Drosophila melanogaster: one gene and its partner. The protein of the gene in region 2 interacts with the protein of the main gene of each other region in a pairwise test. Each region holds a gene or a part of one and is shown on either strand. Other genes may lie near its edges. The genes, in order: CG11961 and Gapdh2.

The links.
Region 1: the proteins of Gapdh2 (region 2) and CG11961 interact in a two-hybrid assay, tested with the Drosophila melanogaster proteins (one large-scale study listed by BioGRID).

The regions. Positions count from the first base shown.
Region 1 is NT_033778.4:19,356,156-19,363,769, reverse strand, and holds CG11961 (uncharacterized protein), read right to left. Parts: upstream 5,455-7,614; 5' UTR 5,375-5,454; coding exon 5,270-5,374; intron 4,585-5,269; coding exon 3,926-4,584; intron 3,862-3,925; coding exon 3,501-3,861; intron 3,442-3,500; coding exon 3,058-3,441; intron 3,004-3,057; coding exon 2,823-3,003; intron 2,760-2,822; coding exon 2,431-2,759; intron 2,374-2,430; coding exon 2,274-2,373; intron 2,215-2,273; coding exon 2,112-2,214; intron 2,050-2,111; coding exon 1,857-2,049; intron 1,801-1,856; coding exon 1,708-1,800; intron 1,647-1,707; coding exon 1,479-1,646; 3' UTR 646-1,478; downstream 1-645.
Region 2 is NC_004354.4:15,866,459-15,870,368, reverse strand, and holds Gapdh2 (glyceraldehyde 3 phosphate dehydrogenase 2), read right to left. Parts: upstream 2,225-3,910; 5' UTR 2,126-2,224; intron 2,052-2,125; 5' UTR 2,034-2,051; coding exon 1,035-2,033; 3' UTR 708-1,034; downstream 1-707.

The DNA of each region.
Region 1 (7,614 bases), on a different chromosome or scaffold from region 2:
ACAATCACTTTGGTGAAATATGGCAAGGCATATAGGCACTAACCTTCAGATCACACGCGACTCGTACCGGAATCACCAACTATGAAATACAACCGTACCAGGGCCCAGCCGTTGGGCAACTAAGAAGCTCCAGGCTGGTTCCCAAGAATTAAGTAGGGCCCAGCTCCGGTGCGTTAGATTTCTTATCGCGTCCATGGCAGCGATAATAATTAAATATTATGATTATAATCGTCGATTTCGGCGCATAAAACGATTACATCCAGCGATAGGCGATACCAGAAGCATTTTCTCTTTATAACTTTTTTATGGAACCGTTGTTAACGCGATTAGGACTCACGTTCGGCGGAGATCTTTCGGTGGGGTCCAAAATCTAAAAAAATCTACATAAAACGTACATAAAATAATTTAGATTTGCTTGCTCTCTTTAATTTGGGGAAGTACGGACCGTGTTATCGAATCACATAAATTAACAACGTGTAAGTTAGATAAGAACACAAATTAAATAGAATTATACATTTAATAGTAGTTCAACACATTTTCTTGTACAATTTAGGTAACATTAATAACTAAGTAATAATTAAAGACAATGCAACAAGTGGCATTAAAATTCATGAATTAAATGACTTGGTGGTAAACCACCCCACAGACCCAAAATAAATTTAAACCATTTTTTTGGTGCTGTATATTAGATTTTTGGCTCAGATAAGAATACCTGTCTGGCACTGGTTGTTTCTTATTGCCTTAGGTTTTTTTTTTATAGCGGGACTAAATACTAATAAATATGTCTAAGCTGGACGTACTATAGGACAGCTCATGATTTACTACTGTGAACATTACAGGCTAAACGAAAATTTTGGTCACACGTTTATTAAATTTGTGTTTACCTCAATGATAATCATTCGGAAATGTTCAACTATTCATGCTGATAAGCATTCGGACATATTAAATTATCAAATCCTAATCTGGCAATCTAAAATCAGTCTGCATCACACTTTCCGTGAATGGACATTATGAAAAATACTCTATTTTTTTGGGGGCGATGTGCGATTTCGCCATTTATATTTTTGCGTGGGACACAAGTTGGCTAAACTCTGGACCATAAATTCTAAATCTATGGCCGATTATTTCCCGACGAGGCCATAAAATTCGAGTTAATACCAATTTTGGACATTCATTTTACGGACACCGAAAGTACATACACTCTTCTTGGTAGAACAGTCCTCATTTCTACATTCATATCATGTAGAAAATACATTCTACGTTTAGGAATTATGTAACTTTCAATTGGCGATATACAATCGCAACACTTTGATATCGGCCGCATAGCTTAGGGGATTAGTTATTATTAATTATTGATAAATGAACAGCCCAATATAACTGACGCTTATCAATGATTATGGTTTTTCATATCTCAAGAACAAAGTTCTTACGATATTTATTTTACGAAGGTACAAAAATGTATACATTAGATAGCTTCTCTAGAAGATCCGGCTCTCGAATGAAGCTGGCCAGGGTGTGGCATCCACATAATGGGGGAAACTGTCGAGGAACTTCTTAAAGTCAGGCGTTATTAGTTCCTTGTGATGGTTCCAATGGCCTCCGAGCCCAAGTTCCAGAGTAGAAGAGTTCCAATTTCCGTTGGGTTTCTGGTCGATGTGGAAAATATATGTATAGACAAATTACTTTTGCGAGTTTTCCATAACCTACCTCTAGTTCTAGCCAGAATTTAAGTGGATCTCCATTGACACCCCACGAGAAGTAGATGAAGTAAGGTGGCTCAAAGCTCAGACGTAAGGGTGCCTGTAGTTGTTGAGATATTAACATTGAATTCAGACTTATGTGACTTTAATAATTACCTGATGGAAGGACCAGTCCATCATCTTTGCTCCGTTCAAGGGCTGTATAAAGAGGGCCATGTGATTGGGTCCACTTAGCTGCATTTCATAGCGAATTTTGGTGGGCGACACTGTATTCTTGGAGAGCAATAAAACGGTTGGCACATTCTCGCCAAGAACAGGTTCCGATGCGGGTATCCATAAACTGTTCTTTCTATAAGGACTCAAATGTATTAGTTTACTAATTCATACTAACTTTTTGAGTTGGAAACTAACCTGGTCTTGTGCCAACGCTGATTATATAGGGGCAATCCGCAATTAATTTCCTTATCGCAATCGGATCCAATTCTTTGGGCCAGTGTCATGTTGATAACAGCATCTTAAAAGGCCAAAAAAAATTCCATGAATTAACCTTTCAATATAATTAGTCCACCTTACTTTTCACGGTGTAAGTGCGTCTGTCCTGGGGCATAATGAAGTAACCAGATTCCTGACGGCGCACTTTGTTTTGAGCGTCGTGGAAGGTACGCTTGGTGTGCTAAAAAAAGGAAATCCTTTTTACTTATCAATACAATATAACTTTGTAGTTTCTTACCAGGACAGCGAAACGCTGGACATTCGTTTCTGGGCGATAGGGGAATCCAATTGGTGTCATTGCAATAATGAAGCACAATAACGTGATGCCCATCAGGCCGCAGATGATGGTCTTCGATTTGTTGAACAACTGCAGAACAGGGATAATGAAACCGCAGCAGAGGAAGCCCACAGCGACACTGAAAACAGCCACCGCCAAATCCGGATTAAGGTTCTCTCCAAAACGACCAAACATTGGAATGAACGTGGTGAAGAATCCGTGCGAGAAATATGCAAAGAATACAAATGGTGGCACAGTGCAAACAATGTGCGGAATGACCCATGCGACATCTATTGGGAATAAAAAGACATATTAAAAATCAAACTAAGCATACTCTTATAAATACAACTCACCTTTGGTGTGCAGTTTGGTGGCAATATTAATGATCAAGCCCACTGTATAGAACAAGCAACTGAGCATCAAAACAAAAACAGAGCGAATTCCACAGATGGTGAAGATCAGGGTGAGAACAGATAAAAGTAGGCAGTGGCAGTGCAGCAAAAGCTGAACCCGCTGACCAATGGGAAGCTTATCCTGAAAAAAGATTTAGCTTTAGTCAACCAATAAATCATACCAAACTATACATACACGCTTGGTCCAGTGGAAGTACAAGGCAGGCACTATGGCCAAACCGAAGAAGAAAGTGGTGAAGTAGAGACCCAGGATGAGCCAGGAGTTCGAGAACCACGACAGAGGCAAATGCACCGCATCCATGAACAGACCGAGCAAAACTGGCAGGATGGCTCCCACAACAACAGATAGAATCTGTACGAGGAGTGTGTGCCCCACCTTCTTGAGGATCTTTTCGAGCTTTATGCCCGAGTTGACCGACATCAGCTTAAAAGCGTAGCCACAAATCCCGATGGATACCAAGGAGACGATGACGTTCAAGATAACGCCTTCGGTTTCGGTGTAGAAAACCAGAAACCAACCCATAACATCGAAATAGATGGTGTGACCTTTGGCGTATTTCTGAAAAAAGAAAAAGGCAATTAGTAATTTATCATTAAGATCTGTATCAGCCATGTTACCGCTGAATTCTCAATCTCCGGAGAGTTTGCAATCTGTCGGACCAAAGCAAGCAGATTATCGCCAGTATGCTGGAAACTACCCCTGGGAAAGATCTCTGCCTTGTCGTGTCGCGTGTGGTAGACAAATCCGTTGTAGGTGTAGGCCATATCCAAGCCGGGAACCGATCCATGGTCACGGAAAATGCGGAAGTCCGTGTCAGAGGGAATGAAATTGTGCTGGAACAGCTCCTCGCCCATTGTAGAAGCATACGGGTGCTTGATGGCACGTCGGTAGTTCTTCATTAGCCAGGGATGATTGGGTCCCGATTGGAAGAGGATCTCTCGACCGCCATTTCCGCAGGAATCGAGATTGATAAGGGCTCTGTAAAGGATAAATGAAAGTATAAGATAAATTCGACAAAATTTAAAGCACTCATTTGACCTACTTGCAATATTTGGCCCACTTGTGCTGGGTGATGAAGGCATGCGAGGCCTGAAGGGGATTTTCCTCGGCACCATTGAACAGGAATACCACAGGGTTCTTTAGTGGCTTATCGGACTTGGCCAGCACACGGAGTACCTCCATCATAGTGGCCACCATGGAACCATCATCACCAGCACCAGGTCCCGCCGGCACGGAATCATAGTGACTGTTTACCAGAAGATAAGTAGTGCTGTTCGTGTTCTTGGGACTGATCTTAACGACAATATTCTGAATGCTCTGGTACATATTGACCATGGACCAGTGAACATAGCTACCGGATGCCACCTGAACATCCACTTCAATATCGTTGGCAGTGCCGGATCGAATTTTTTGCATCTTCTGGGAGAGCATCTTCAAAGCGGCCATCTCATTCTGTCGACTGCCCACCACTCGGGGTCCCAGGCTCACTAGCTCCCGTAGATTTTTCTCTGCGCGCTCGGCGATGAACTGGTCGGGATGCGTTTCCTCATCCTGAATGGTCAGTGGGCGGGGAAGGCGGTGGCAGGCGGGTATCGAGATGGTCACATAGAGCAGCAGCCAGAATCCAAAGAAGGCGGGTGCCCAGAACCACTTAATCTTGTTTCCCTGGACGAATGCTCGCTCACAGCCATTGGGCTGAGCCTGAAATGAAGCGGATAAAGATTAATTCAATTAAATTCAAACAACTTAATATGCCTGCAATGTCAGTATTGGCTTTAGGTCACTTATCTTATACGGGACTTCCGAAAACTAGGCATGTACATACATATTGTATATCTTTTAATCTTGCCAATGCCCCCTAAAGATATCTAATTTTCGGCACGGTTTTATTCACACCGAATGGATATTACCCAAAACTTCGTAGTTAGATACACCTACGTCTGGCCGCAGACATGAGTCAATTTCGAAATTGGAATCGACTATAGGTATCAAGTCGAAAGTTAGATTTAATCCATCAACGGTTATCTTATCGCTGGTCAGCCCGCCAGTTGCAAAACCTGTTGCCACCGAAAATCGAATTGGTCACAGGTGGATAGTATAACTTCTTGTGTTGGGAACTGCTCCACTAAACTAAGGCCAGACAGATAGATAAACCGAGGGTGCAACTAGGGCGAAATGGTGCGCTGCTATCTCAAGGGTATCCACTGTTCGTTAGTTATCGGCTTTTCCCTGATAAGTACATGCCGCCAAAAAAAAGTCGATTCCCTTGGAACTCAACCATGGGTAATGCTCATGTTGCTGTTTGGCTGTTTGGATCGGCGGTGATTAGCACATACCACACCCAATTGAAGAGCAATCTAATCAAGGACCCAAAGTGGGTGCTTACCTCATACTGCTGGGAACCGCGGGGTCGTAGCAATGGATCCACATTCGTAGGATCGTTGGTCGGCGTAATGACGCGACGCCGTACATTCTTCTCACTGCCACTCATGTTTCCGGATAACGATGCCCGGTATTTTGGTCAAGATCTCCCAATGAACCGATCGCGTCGGCGTCCAACGCTCTACTGAACGTTCCACTGCATTGATTATCCTAACGTACCGGTCTCAAATTCCCTCACAGAGACAAATAACTTTTTTATTCTCTCGCCCACGATACAATGTTTCTTATCTATCGGTTCGTCGTACGAACCGTATACAATAGTTCGAAATATGTTTATGGCTACTCAGGGTACAGGGGGTTGTGGGGGGCTGGATTTTCATTAACAGTGGACTGCGAGAAATGCCTACATAACTTCCGCTTGGATTCATAATTCATAATTCTGAATTTGACCAAGTCGATATATATCAATTAATTAGAGCAGCAGCATTATGAGTGCAAGCCCACATCTTATCTTTTTTTACACATTGAAAAAATAGGTATATCAATCTGTATTTATCATAGTAATAATGGCTGAATGGTTTTTTACTTGCAACGATTTTATGAATTCACTGACATCTGCATTATATTTTTCTAAGTGCACTTTGCATTCTAAATCTGCATCCGTACCTTCGATCTTTTCTCCTCCGTTTCGCTGCTCATTCCGAGGCGCTCTTCTTCTTCCCGTATCTATATTGTAGCGAAACCGGCCTTGTTGTTTTTGCCGCTCCGAGTTTTAGCCGCCGAATGGTGGGATCAAAGTTTCCGAAGCGCGGTTTTAATACCGCTCGAGCGCAAAGCGCTGCGGCACTAACTGAATTATTCAAAATAATGGTCAGCGTTTTGTTGACAGTTCTTAGTTGCTAATATTTACACTTTTCACACAGCGCATTATTTTCGTATTTACTTGGGCAAATGTGTGTGTGTGTGGTAAACAAAATAATTGTGTGCGACATTCGATAAAGATAGCAATCGTTTCGATTGTCTATCGCACCCAAGCGGTTCTTATCTGATTCGTAATTGCATACTTTCGGGCGGCAATTTGGAAACAATTTCACACTGGCCAGCAAAACGACCGAACAGCCGAACAAAAAGATAGGGCACAACTAAAAGCGGTAAATTTGCTCATTTACAGTTATGCGCCCTCATGCCTGTCTCTCTCTCTTTCTGGCCTGCATGTGCATTAGAAAACGATGACGTGAAAAGCACAGGCACACACACGCATGCAGCGGGAGCATCCCGTTTGGAATTGAGGACAACGTGGAAAACATGTGCCATAAAACGGGAAATGCAATAAAGGCGGGGGAGGTGCAGGAAGGGGCACTTAGGCGCAGTGTCATTCAACCTAAATAAGGAATGCCCGAGTGGGTGTAACCTATGTGTGTTTGTGTGTGTGTGCCAATTGCTCTCGCGAATTCATTCACTCACTAATACACTGACTCCCGCACTCACTTCTTCATTGATGCCTTGTGGCACTGAAATTCGTAAACAAAGCGTTCACCGGAACACGGACCGAAAGGATAATCGATAGAATGAACGCCCAGGAACAAGTGTATGGGAATTCCGTGAGAGTTTCACAATCAGAGCTACGAAAACACTGACCAGCTAGTTTTGGCCGTCTTTTGTGGCTAGTTTTAGTCGAACGGAAAGCGAGAGAACGCAGAAAGTACGCATGCGTGTGAGAGCAATTGCCGGTTTGGGGACACAACCAAAACAAAGCGAAATATGTGTCAGCTGCTTCTTCGCCCGCCTTTTCGACACAAATTCGCGCGTCCTCGTGCTTTGCGTACCCACCATCACCACCCATTCAACGCCTATCTTCCTAGCACGTTCATTTTGGTGGTGCCGCTCCACCCACTCTCTCTCTTCCTCTCTCTCTCTCTCTCTATCCCACTTTCTCCATCGTTCAGTTGAGCCGCTTGTCCCGCTGTTACTAAAGTCTCAGTCGCGTTTCAACGCTCGAAGCTTTTGGTCGTGCTCGCTGCCTAGGAACAAATTTAAGCAGAACGAAAAAAAAAAATAAATTAGGACTCAAAGTGGGATCCCTAACGGTACTAAAAATGTGCTTGGAGTAAAGAAAGGGGCCGCGTATCTATGTGCGCGCGTGTGTGTATGTGTGCGTCTATCTCTCTGCCTGTTCCGTTTGCCTAGCTAAAAATAAAATTATATAATTTTTAATAAAAAAAAAGAATAACAGAAAGGAAAGCACCCAGCGAATGCAAATCGTATGCGGAGCGAGCGGAAGAAACCGTACTGAATTTGTGAGTAACAGCCGCGGGATTGTTGGGGCAAAAAACACGTGAAATGCTTGCC
Region 2 (3,910 bases):
TTATGGCGTTTTCACTCGGTAACTTTCATTTACATTCATCAAGAACCAGAAGTCTTGAACTCTTATGCTGATTTGTGTCCGTTTGTTGCTACTGCATGTTGAATAATTCACATTTTATTTTAAGGTTTCATCAATTGATTATTTTATTTACATGCCAGTATTAAAATGTTCTGAAAATTAGTGTGCCCGTGTGAGAAAATTAATCGAAAAGACGGTATAGCAAGCGATTAAATATCGATAACGATATAATGGTGAAGTGCTGTTGAAATGATGCAGTCAACCAAAATATTTGATTATATTTGCCAATTATGCAAATATAAATCGGCAGAGAAACATTATTTTCTCAGAAATGTATCCAAAAAGCCAGGCTTACACAGACAATATGCCACCGTTAGTCTCTCCAAATATCGATAACTTCTGTTTATACATTGCTTCAACTGAAGGGTTTAAGGTCGCTCTTATCGAAATCTGTAAAAGCCCGATTTTTGCCGATAACAATACCATAGAATCAGGCTCATTTAAAATTATTTGAAAACTTTAACAAGTTATGTAATCATTCAAAAACCAATCGACTTAAAAAAAATATCGACACATTTCTGTTATATATATATTACTTCCAAATATAGCAAATGAAAAAAACAATTTAAAGTAATACTCATACTATTTTAGGTATTTCAACGGTTTATACCAAATAAAAAGGCAAAAATAAATATTTAAATGCTTATGAGTCGGCATTTTTAAAACTACACACAGAGTGAAACTTTATTCAACAACAGTAAACATATTTATGTGTATAATGGATGTATTATATTAATAATTTTCCAATGTGGCTGGTAATTGAAGAGCGAAAACAGTAGCATTTCAGAGCATAGCGCATATGTATGTAGGTGATGCTCCACCGGGGAGCAATATATATATAAGTTATGTGATGCCATTTTCAGGCCGTTTCTGAAGTGTCTCACCCCATTCTACCGCGCCCTAATCTTTAACTTTTACGTAGAGTGTGGGTGGGTAGTGTTCTTGGTGTTCCACATTTAATCCTTGCTCTGCATGTACTTGATCAGGTCGATGACGCGGTTGGAGTAGCCAAACTCGTTGTCGTACCAAGAGATCAGCTTCACGAACTTGTCGTTTAGCGAAATGCCAGCCTTGGCATCGAACACCGACGAGTGGGTGTCGCTGAGGAAATCGGTAGAAACGACCTCCTCATCGGTGTATCCCAGGATACCCTTCAGGGGTCCGTTGGCGGCCTCCTGAACCTTGGCCTTAATTTCATCATAGGACGCACCCTTGCCCAAGCGCACGGTCAAATCGACCACGGAAACGTTGGGAGTGGGCACACGGAATGCCATTCCGGTGAGCTTACCGTTGAGGGCGGGGATAACCTTGCCCACGGCCTTGGCAGCTCCAGTGGAAGCTGGAATGATGTTCTGGGCAGCGCCACGTCCATCACGCCACAACTTGCCGGAAGGTCCATCGACGGTCTTCTGGGTAGCGGTGGTGGCATGAACGGTGGTCATCAGACCCTCGACGATCTCGAAGTTGTCGTTGATCACCTTGGCCAGAGGAGCCAAGCAGTTGGTGGTGCACGATGCGTTGGAGACCACCTTCATGTCGGGCTTGTAGGCATCCAAGTTGACGCCGCAAACGAACATGGGAGCATCGGCGGATGGGGCCGAGATGATAACCTTCTTGGCACCGCCCTTCAAGTGAGTGGATGCCTTGTCGATGGTGGTGAACACGCCAGTGGACTCCACGATGTATTCGGCACCAGCGCTGGCCCAGTTGATGTTGGCCGGGTCGCGTTCGCTGAAGACGGTGATCTTCTGGCCGTTGACCACCAGGAAACCGCCCTCGGCGGCAACGGTGCCCTTAAAACGTCCGTGGGTCGAATCGAACTTGAACAGGTAGACCATGTAGTTCACATCGATGAAGGGATCGTTGACGGCCACAACGTTGGCGCCCTTATCAATGGCGGCGCGGAGAACCAAGCGGCCGATGCGACCAAATCCATTGATACCAATCTTCGACATGGTTAACTTTTTGTTTATCTGGAAAGTAATGTATGTATATGTAAAGCAGTTAGTACTTGGAAAGTTTTCCGCGGAATTGAGGGAAACACTACCTATCGGCTTGCTTGCAAGGAATCGACTGTGATGGCTGAGAAATTTTGAGCGCTTTCTATGGGCGAAAACTCGGGCGAAAAATTGTTCAAAGTCAGATGAAGGACGTGCATGTCAAGCTCGAGAGCGGCTACCGCAATAAAAAAGAGCTTTTGCTCTCAGTAACGTGAAAGCTCAATGCTACCCAATAGACTTTTTGCAAGCATCATTATATGAATATAATAAGTAGATATGTACATAAGATACGCTTAACTTTAAAAACTTCTGATCTTAGACAGTTAAAGTGACCTATAAAGTATATGGATTTTTTAATTTATACGGACAAATGTTTATTGGGATATTTTTATGGCCATTTCACCTGCTCAATTTTGTTGACGGAAGTTGAGCTTTCTTGTGAGCTTAGTTGCCGGCAATTACATACGTGCATATATAGGCACACGAAACATACACATATATGAGCACGTCTGATGAACATCAATTGGTTATATTGTACATAAATATGTACATAAGTAAATGCAAATGGAAAAATCCTAACATCCCCACATAAATACATATTCATCAATTTCATTAATATTAAAATTTAGAGGTCATATTCTGAGCAAATTGAAGTTTCGCCGGTACGTGACATTAATCTGTACAATACATGTACATATGTACAAAGATACATATACATGTAAATATGTATATATCTTCTATGCATAACTACAATATTAGATGAAATAATTGTCTAAGTAATTAAATTATCCGTTTTGATGATTTCATTTAAGCAATTGTGCTGTTGTCATCCCATTGTTAAAATGAAAAACACCTGACAGCTCAAGTAGGCATCCAAATTTCATGAATTTTAAACGCTAATGGTAATAAATAGTGTTAGTCACAAAATTCCATGTACCCATAACAACGAAATTGTATAACTTTATGATGAAAACTAAGTGAATGTGACCTTTTGAGTCACGCAGAATTCATTTACCTTTTTTTATTATATATAAACATGTATATACATATGTTCTTAAAATCAGCAGATCCCGTTTATATAAATATTAAAACATATGTATACGAACGATATATAATCAAAATCAATTAATTTGGGAGTATTTTATTCATACAATCATTTGTAGTAAAAAAAAAGGTATCTGCAAATTAATCATTTCTCCTTCCCCAAACTGAATAATCGATATTGTAATCATTTAACATTCTTTTTATTCTTTTCATTCTTTTTATATATTTATCGATTTGTTTTCAGTGCAACCCTTAATTATGAACATAGCAGTGAAAATTCAAATAAGCGCGCCAACATTAAAATGTTGAAATATGCAATTTGACAAGAACTCAACATTTCTGTTGCCTTATCTTTTACATTTTATAAATTATTTCTCGAATAAGTATTAAATATTTTAGTGCGTCATGTTTATTTATTAATACTTGGGCTGGGCAAAAAAGTTCGTTCCTTTTCAGTGAGTCATCGGTTTTACTGATAAGCAAACATTTCACTTGTTTTTTAACCTCTCATCTTTATATTGTTGAAACGATAAATGTATTTCAGCTTGGTGCTAAATTATTGCAGCAAAGTCAAAAACAATGCTTACATCTTACCATTAAGATCCATTGAAAGATGACTTCTAGATTTATACATTACCGAAAAAAAGGATCCGATTAGAAAAGTATCCCTGAAAGTGAATAAAACACCTGCCAATGTTGTGGAAGTCTTACTGTCCTTCGAGTTTGTGGGGTTATTGCCTTTTATGCTAACATCCCAGGATGACTTCCTAACCTAGAAACCCCATTAC